Linked DNA regions of Schizosaccharomyces pombe. The protein of the gene in region 1 binds, or shares a complex with, the protein of each later gene. Each region holds a gene or a part of one and is shown on either strand. Other genes may lie near its edges. The genes, in order: nem1 and nem2.

What was found.
Region 2: nem1 (region 1) and nem2 share a complex: the UniProt entries of both Schizosaccharomyces pombe proteins name them as parts of the nem1-spo7 complex.

The regions. Positions count from the first base shown.
Region 1 is NC_003423.3:3,371,362-3,376,180, forward strand, and holds nem1 (Nem1-Spo7 phosphatase complex catalytic subunit Nem1), read left to right. Parts: upstream 1-1,940; 5' UTR 1,941-2,103; coding exon 2,104-3,534; 3' UTR 3,535-4,191; downstream 4,192-4,819. Other genes in the region: RNA polymerase I transcription factor subunit Rrn6, read right to left, coding at 1-823; U3 snoRNP-associated protein Utp3, read right to left, coding at 4,200-4,819. UniProt on the Schizosaccharomyces pombe protein: Catalytic component of the nem1-spo7 complex which acts as a phosphatase and may be required for proper nuclear membrane morphology.
Region 2 is NC_003423.3:486,379-490,424, forward strand, and holds nem2 (protein phosphatase regulator Nem2), read left to right. Parts: upstream 1-1,577; 5' UTR 1,578-1,851; coding exon 1,852-2,394; 3' UTR 2,395-3,222; downstream 3,223-4,046. Other genes in the region: Ctf18 RFC-like complex subunit Ctf18, read right to left, coding at 1-582; MTREC (exosome adaptor) complex RNA-binding subunit Rmn1, read left to right, coding at 3,504-3,533, 3,572-3,609, 3,700-4,046. UniProt on the Schizosaccharomyces pombe protein: Probable regulatory component of the nem1-spo7 complex which acts as a phosphatase and may be required for proper nuclear membrane morphology.

The DNA.
Region 1 (4,819 bases):
CAGAATTATAAACATCATCTGCGTACAAAAAACGCAGAGGTATAGCGGACAAGCATCCAGGTGTATTTGGCTCATCTAAGAACATTAAATCATAAGTTACCTGGAATATAACCAACTCACAAGACGATAATGCGAAGAGCAAACTTGGTTCTCCATTAGAGAAAACCAATTGTCTCACTGGTTGTGAGAATTTCCATATTGGATCCTCAGCAAACTCAAAAGCCGATACATTCAAGTAAAATGGGAATTCTTCAAAAGTTGCAGTATTTTGTAATGTCGGAGATGCACGAAAAATCCATGGAGACGAGAGGCATAAAAAGAGGAGATTTTCCGCAGTTTCATTGCTAATCTTGCTACAAGCAAGACATTCAGTTGTGGTGTATCTGTTTTTATCTGATGGCGCTGTTTTACCCAAGCAAAAAGTATTTAAAATATGTGGATTATATATAGACTCAGCAGAAGAAGCTAATTGAGACTCTTTCGCTAGTGTAGAAAATAAATTTCGCGGAACATATCTGCAAACACTTAAACCAAATGAACTACTAGTCGCTTTACGCGTGGAATTGGTGGCCTCAGCAGGAAGCTCAGTTAATTTAGGGAGTTTGTAGTTTGGATTTAAAGATAAGATATCCCATCTTTTGTCCAAGTCAACAAGCTCGACGCCCGTATAGGAGTCATACCTAGCAAAAGTCCATTCATTATTTTCAACCTTCTCCGCTCTGTGATAGCCAGATGGATTTAAAAGTTGACACGCCCCTATAATTCCATAATCCAAACTTACACTAGGTTTTTTACTAATTGCATCAATAGGCCATGTTGACATGAAGATAATTAGAAAAATAAAATTAGATTGAATTGTGTTTACAAAAACACATCTAACGACAATACAAGAGCAACCTAGCGACAAAGCAAGTAATCAGTGTTTCAAGGAAGCAATGCTGGAGTAATTTCACCTATAGTTAAGAACTTGACTTTATTGTTATACTATAATATATTTAAAGTGCTATCTTTAAACCATTATATAATTATATAAAATATAACTCCTACCGACTACATGCTTTCAATTGAACAATTTATTGATTTATGTTAACTGAGAATTTCTCTTTACTAGAAAAAGATGAAGTTTAAAAGTAATACTTAAATTAGTCATAAGACAGTGTTCAAGTAGGAGAGGAGTTCTTCTCCGAAGTCTCTAAGCTGCTATCAATTACATGTAGATTAACACAGCAACAAAACAATCTCCTTTACAATGAAATGCAAACGCTTACGATTTTGGAATGATTTAGCAATAGATAAATTGGTTTACGAATGTTGCATTAGCCCAGTTTTCCCTTTTCATAAAAAATACGTAAGGAGGTGCTGATACCTGAGGAAGAGTGCAATATTCAGATTAGCAAGTGTTTTGAATTCTCTTTAGTGTCCGCTTAACCAATTTTATCGATATGTTTATAATTTTGTAAAGTCAATAAGTTAGTTCAGCCTGTTATTTGTAAGTAATTTATTGTATGCAACGTCTAAAGGAGCTTGATACATTTTAACGTACCATTAAATATATTTAGACTTAAAAGCATCTTTCAAGTAATGTCAAGAAACCTAAAAAGACCGCTCGGCGACTTACATTCTAGCAAAACGTTGATTAAAAGAATGGCAATTAAGCTAGCTTCTACAAATATTTAGACTTTTAATAAAATGAAAATTAATTTTTCTTGCACAGAAACCCATACAAGTAAAGTTTATTAGTTAAAAAAAATGAAAGCTTCTGCAATGAACTTTCATTTTACGAACTTAATAAATATTTACACCGTATTGTTTACATTTAAATTTGTTACTTTAAGGTAGTTTTGATATATCTTCTTAAGCATTACGTCTTATGAAAATGTTATTATTTGGGTTGTAGTTCATCATTATATATATTGTGCATCGTACCACCGTGTGATTCTGGCTTTGTTTTCCCACATATTTTAGGTCTAACTAACACATATTTAATTAATTACTCTTTTTTACTAAAAGGACTCTGCTTGGTCGTTGTATACTTTGTATGCATCGCTTCTTTTGGTGAATTTTTTAATTCTTTGCAATCGCAGCAGAGAGAAAATAATTGTAATGAATTCGATTGCTAGGCTATCAGATGAAATTAATAAAGCAATCCTTGCCACTCCTTTAGACGACGATGAAGCTGACAAAGAAAAACTTGCTAATGCTCGGGGGCGAGCTTCATCAGCTACTTTGAGGCATTATAATCGTCGTAGATCGTCTTATTCGGCGTCCAGCCTTAGCAGTTTGTCATCAAAACCGACGGAAAAGGAAGTTCCTACAAGGAATGAAAAACCGAAGCATGCCAACATTATGCGTGTTGTCGTCTACTGGATTCGTGTGTTCCTGAAACGAATTTATACGTTTTTCGTTCATTCCGCTCGTGTATTTTTGTACCACTTTTTGAATGAAGAGAAAGAGTTTACCCTTGCAAGTTTTTTTTGGGGTCTATGCCGGTTTGTCTTTTTTCCTGTATTATTATCGTATAAACGCCGAGAGATGCTTCCCCCTCAGCCAAGTGTCCGCCGTCCTAGGTTTTATTCTTCTTATTCTTACCCATCCTCTCACCAGGATCCTGCCTATTCATCTTTCAAACGACATAGATCTTCTAATTCTTATAGCAGTTCTTCTAATGGAAATCATGTTCGTTTTCAGCCCTCTATTGCAGAAGAAGAAATTTCTTTCAATTCTTTTTCAAATTCATTGAATTCAGAAGAAGATGTGTGTGTTTCTCCTATGAAACCCAAAGAGGTCTCCCTAATGGGAAAAGCAAATTCCAATCGTTCAGGACATTCGCATCAACCTCAATCAACTCAGTTTTCCCCGCCTGCTAATGACAATATTTCTAAGCTGCCTTCCTCCTTTACGATAGTTAATGATCCTCTTAAATCTCCTTCTTCTTCCCGTCTCCGTATTAGAAACATTACTCTGTGTGCGGACAAAATACCGAGGCCTTTGTTGAATAGCAAGTTACCGAGAAAGACCCTTGTATTAGATTTGGATGAAACACTTATCCATTCCGTGTCTCGTGGTAGTCGAACGACTTCTGGACAGCCAATTGAAGTACATGTGCCTGGTGAACATCCAATCCTTTACTATATTCACAAAAGGCCTCATCTTGACTACTTTTTATCAAATGTGAGTCAATGGTTTCGCCTTATTTTGTTCACAGCATCTGTCCAGCCATATGCTGATCCAATAATTGATTATTTGGAGCGTGATAAAAAAATATTTGCTAAACGATACTACCGTCAACACTGTGCACTTGTCGATAGTTCTTTCGTTAAAGATATTTCCATTTGTAATATTCATCTTTCACGGATCATGATAATTGATAATTCTCCAGCCAGTTACAATGCTCATAAAGAAAATGCCATACCTATTGAAGGTTGGATTAGCGACCCCTCTGACGTTGATTTACTAAACTTACTTTCTTTTCTTCATGCACTGCAATATGTTCATGATGTGCGAGATCTTTTGGGGCTTCGTCTCGCAAAATAAGTGCTTTTCATGATTCCTTTTTTTTTTCGTGAGTAATTTACTCGTTATTTATCACCAGTAACGATGGTCTAAAATAACTTTTTCTACTGCATTAACATCTTGGGTGCCTTTCCTTTCTCATCATCAAACTTCTTTGTTATAACCTCAAAAGGGTACCTTTTGGATATTTCCTAGACCGCATTTGGGCCATTCCAGTTAAATAATTTTTGTTTCTTTTTGCTGATAATATGTCAATTAATGTAAGCCTAATCGTAAGAAATTCTTTCTAATAAACTAAACGCATGTTTTAAGAAAGATTAGTTTCTGCACTGATGTTCGCAGCAATTACGAAGGCAACTTACTTATGAAATTTCTTTCTAAATCAAGCTTTTAATAAACATGTTTATTCTATTTAAGTGTTGATTCTTTTTTTTTTACTTTTCAATCTGTTATTACAATCAACTTACTTAATCAGGATGGGCAAAGGATTATAAATGATTTAATGATTATAAACCAGATTACATAGACTTTTAGCATTTTAAAATCATATCACTAGGCTAACGACATTGTTCTAGCAAATAACATAACCCAAAACCACATTATTATTATATGTATCTAATAACACGAAAATTCAAAAAACCTAATATATGCAGAATTAATAGTTGAATCAATACCAACCACCACTTCTATTGAAGTTTAATACTTTTAACTAAACCAGCTTTAATACCAGTCTGCTCACCAGCATAGCCGCCCTGTGGTGCGCCCTTGTAAATAGCCTTTTTGCTGGCTAATTTCTTCTTAGCTTTTTCGTAGCGCATACGCTTTTTAAGTCGAGGATTTCTATTTTCTTTAGGTCGACGGGGAGTTAATCCTCTATTTTTAGCAATGTCTAAAGTAATTCCACGCTTATCACCTTCACCTAATTCAATTAGTTCTGGGTGCCTTGAAGCTCTTATTAAATCACGTTCGAGATCGTGATTTTCTTTACGGAGCTTTTTAGCCATCTTTGATTTTTTATCGAGAGACTCGTAATAATCCAAATCATCTTGATCTTCAACTTCACGATCGACATTTGCAGGTATGCCCATTGATTCCGGATCTTCATCATCAAGATCAGCACCAGCATCCTGATTTCGACCCCTGGCTGCAGCTTCTCTCATCAATCGCTGCTGGCGTTCAAATCTTCGTTCTTTGTATGGCATGTCCAAATCACCTGATAACTCCAGTACCGCTCTGGAACGCTTAGCTGCCTTTTGGTCAATTTGATTAGCATAAAACTTTAAAGAGCGTTTCCTAGCAATCTTGT
Region 2 (4,046 bases), 2.9 Mb from region 1:
CGATTGTTCAGCATCTATATGTAATACCGAGGTTCGCCCTGTGGAAAATAATACATTGGAATCTTGATTTTCTTTTTCAAAATTAACTGGAGAACCCTTTTCAGAAGTTTTTGTATGCGAATTGTAATTCCTGAAAAGTAGATTGGAATCTCGTGGAAAAGCTGCAGCATTAGAAATATCCAAATCAATAGAGGGCATATCAATATCCATAGACTCTTCAAGCCCCATCTTTGGATTAGCAGACGTATTGGGATAACGGTAATCAGTTTGCGGCGCGTGCCTCTGATTTATTGTCTCGTCCTCACTTATGTCAGTATCAATTGCTGCATTGTCAGAACTATATAAATCCAGTGTAGAAGGGATATCATCACCGTTCCTTGTAGGAGAACCTACAGGCTGTGAACTATGAAATAAATCATTTGGTATTGATCGATGTTCAAGGTTTTCTAAAGCATTCGCGTTTCGCAATTCTAGTAAATAATTTTCCTCATCTTCAAAACTCTCATAATTCTTTCCATAAGGAACGTTTTGCTCCGCTACCAAAAGCTTCTCCAAATCATCCTCATTTGGAATCGAATCCATATGAGTTGGAAATCCAAATTTTCAAATGGAACATGTAACAATTATGAATACTGAAAGACATCGTACATCCGAATTTTTTATAAGCAATTACCCCGTGTGCGTTGCAATGCATTATATGCTTGGAGAGTAAACAAAGCTTTCACTTTGGTTTTTTATGTGGTAATTTCAAGTAATTTTAAGAAAAGAAAACTGTTGAAGAATATTTATTTAATGCTTATTTTATTTTTCTGTCTGTTAATGTCTGATATGAATTTTAATGAAACTCATACCGTGTGCGGAGCCAAAAATTTGCAGTCCTATTGACTTCTTTGATTGTTCCCAATTAATTTGGATTTATGGTTAATGTGTAAAAAATCGTTGATGGAATTACGGCGGTTCCGATCGTGAATAGGATAATCGACTTACCCCAACACTCTAGAGTGCGACATTCCTGGCTCGGCTTTTTGGAGTAGAAGATACAAACGAAAATAGAAAATTGATCTATATGTCGTTCCTAAAACTTATGCTTCAATTCTGCAAACACTACTAAGTTTTTTCAGCTTGCAACACGTTAAGCTGCGTAACTTATTTCTGCTACTATTTTACTCGGTATAGGATTGCTGATTGAGTTCTTTATTTCTTTATTTATATATGATCTTTTCGCCAACGTGTTTAAACTAGGGGAGTTTAATTGCTAAATCGGCTAAAAAACTACAATGTAAAAACTTGGCCTATATATTTTTATCCAAACATAAGATTTTTTAAATACAGAATTGATATCTGAGCAGTCATTTAGTAAAAAGATGTCAGTAAAAGCTTTCTAATCCATTGGTCGGAACTTTTTAAGACTTTGATGTTTACCAAATAATGAACACAGTTAACACTCCCTCACTATATTTTGCATCGTTATACAGTATACCAACGTTTACTATCGTTTACTATAGCACATATCGAAGTAGACAGCTGCACACTATTGATATTATAGCTATCGGCGCGTAGCTTTGACATTGACTTTTAGAATCTGCCATCCGATTGATACTTGAATCAGCAAATTAGAAGGGCTGTTCTTTTATTGTTTTAGAATCATCGGCTTGTACTATTACTAATTGAATTAGTTCTTATGTTACGCACATATCTCATTCTGTGGTCTTCATAACGACTTCTTGTAATTGGTGTTGGATATTGTCCAATTATTGTTATCTCCAAAAAGCTTTCTTATATTCTGTTTTTCAAGTTCTTTATATCTTTTTATTCTTTTTCCTACGTATTGTTAAGAGTGAATAAAATGCCATGTCCTCTTATGTGCCCAACACCCTGTCCGTATATCACAACTTGTTAATTTTAGAGGCATCGTTTCGGAAAACATACCTACAGCTTCAAGTTCGTCGTCAAAAGTATATGGCTTTCTATGTCTCACTATTGGTGTGGAACTTTTACTTTGGCTATCGCGTCTTTTATCGCATCTCAAAATACTCGTTGATTGATTTGACTTACAAACTTTGTCTTTTATGCGGAATTGTTACACTTTTGCTCTTTTATTTTTCTGGATTGTATCGGACTACAATAGTATATCCATCACGTTATGTTCAACAAGTCAACAAAGCGATGAGGTTTTTTAACATTCGCCTTGTTATAACTCCTGTCCCGTGGTTCCAGGTGAGAAAGCCTTTGGATTGTGGTGTCCATCTTATATTATCAAGCAAACGATTTGACATATTGGTGATCGAAGGTTGGGAAGCTTTTCGTTCTTCATATTTTGCTTCAATACATAGAAAAAACAATAGCATACAGAGTAACGAGTCCTCTGAATCTCCTTCTTCTAAACAGAACTAGATTTACTTATACCCTTATCCTATTTATAAAGGATGCGATCGTTTATTTCCTTTTCAACGTTGTTAATGCTTTTCATGTTTATACTGTTCTAGTATTTGTCATTTTTCATAACGTAAATTTTGATTAAAATTTTCAGCTATTTTTTTTTTTGCTATCCGTTGTTGCTGGCGCCTTTCGCTATATTATTGATCAGTTATTGTCGTTATACTTTTATTACATACTTACCCGATTTGAATTTATTAGGATACTTTTAAGGACATTTCCTTTTATGTTGGGATATGAGATTGCTTTACAGACCCACTGAAATAGGATTTATCGTTGGATAATTAAAAAAAGGATGTTGATGATTCATTACACATCTTGATCATTTACTTGCCTCATCTTAATTGGAAGGGTTTAAATAAAGGCTTAATTGAAAGTTGCTGTCACTTAACTTCCTTATCTTGTTCTGTCAACTTAAACTATTATCTTTCATTCCCGACTTATAATCTTTCTTTTCTTTCTACATCACCTTTTTTTTTAAAAAATGGGTAAAAAGCGTTTTCGCATGTACATAAGCAAAACTTCTTCTCTTCTTATGTAGAGACTTCCTTTTTTTTTAATTTTCAACTTACTCATGCGGACTATACCGGACGTTCATTAGCTCTCTTGACGAGTTAGGTTTTCAAATAATTTAATATAAATGTAATCACTCCACCGTTAAAATTAACTATTTATAAGTGGTGCTAAAATATAAAAAAGTGCATATAGCTAACACGTTTACTCACTGTTGTGCTGACAATTTAATCAATGAAATAATTGGAGACAAGTGAACTCTTTCGAAACTCTCATAATCGTCAGAGTTTGACTTAAAATACATTGTATATTAGTAGTCTAAATACGAGTAATATTATGCAAACCTTCCTATTCCTTATCTAATGTCGACTACTCAGTTAAATTTTATCCCAGCCAATTGCCCTAGCTAAGACATTTGTTATTATTTTGGTATTATGTTTATTCTTTTTGAACTTTCTGGCTAATTGTTAAAGATTTTACCTTATGTGATCTATATTTTCTTACTGGCTCAACCATGCGTAACGCTCCAACAACCAGCACTTTGCTCCATCACAATGCCGTTGTTCTTAGAAGAACATGCTGAGGTAATTTTATTTTTAAGATGCCGAATTAACGCTTTTAGTATTTGAAAAGATATTTAGAACAGGCGTTGGAGCCAATGTATGTAATTTTTTTTGAGTTGCCAATTTGCGTGATTTTTTTTTTTACACGCTAAAAAATTGTTTATCAATATGCTAACGAAATGACTAGTTCTGATGCTGATGCAAGTGTTTTATCAGATTATGCTATGGCATTGTTAAGGCACGATTCTTCTGAAGAAGAAGTTCGCCAGTTATGCTACTCACAACTAGAAGATTTTTTGCGACAGGAGACAATTCCTTTTGTTGATAAAATTTTTGATGTTTTACGTGAAAAATCTTACTTGGAGGGTGCTTCAAATATGCCGTCAACCGGTATGGTGACTGAAGAAGTTTCAAGGTATTCGCCAACTTCATCAATGATCCCTGCCACCAACAGCATGGAAACCAATTTTAATAATTCTTTACCTGCTGTAGGAAAAACAAACACTTTTCCCTCTCAGGTGCCTAATATGTTTG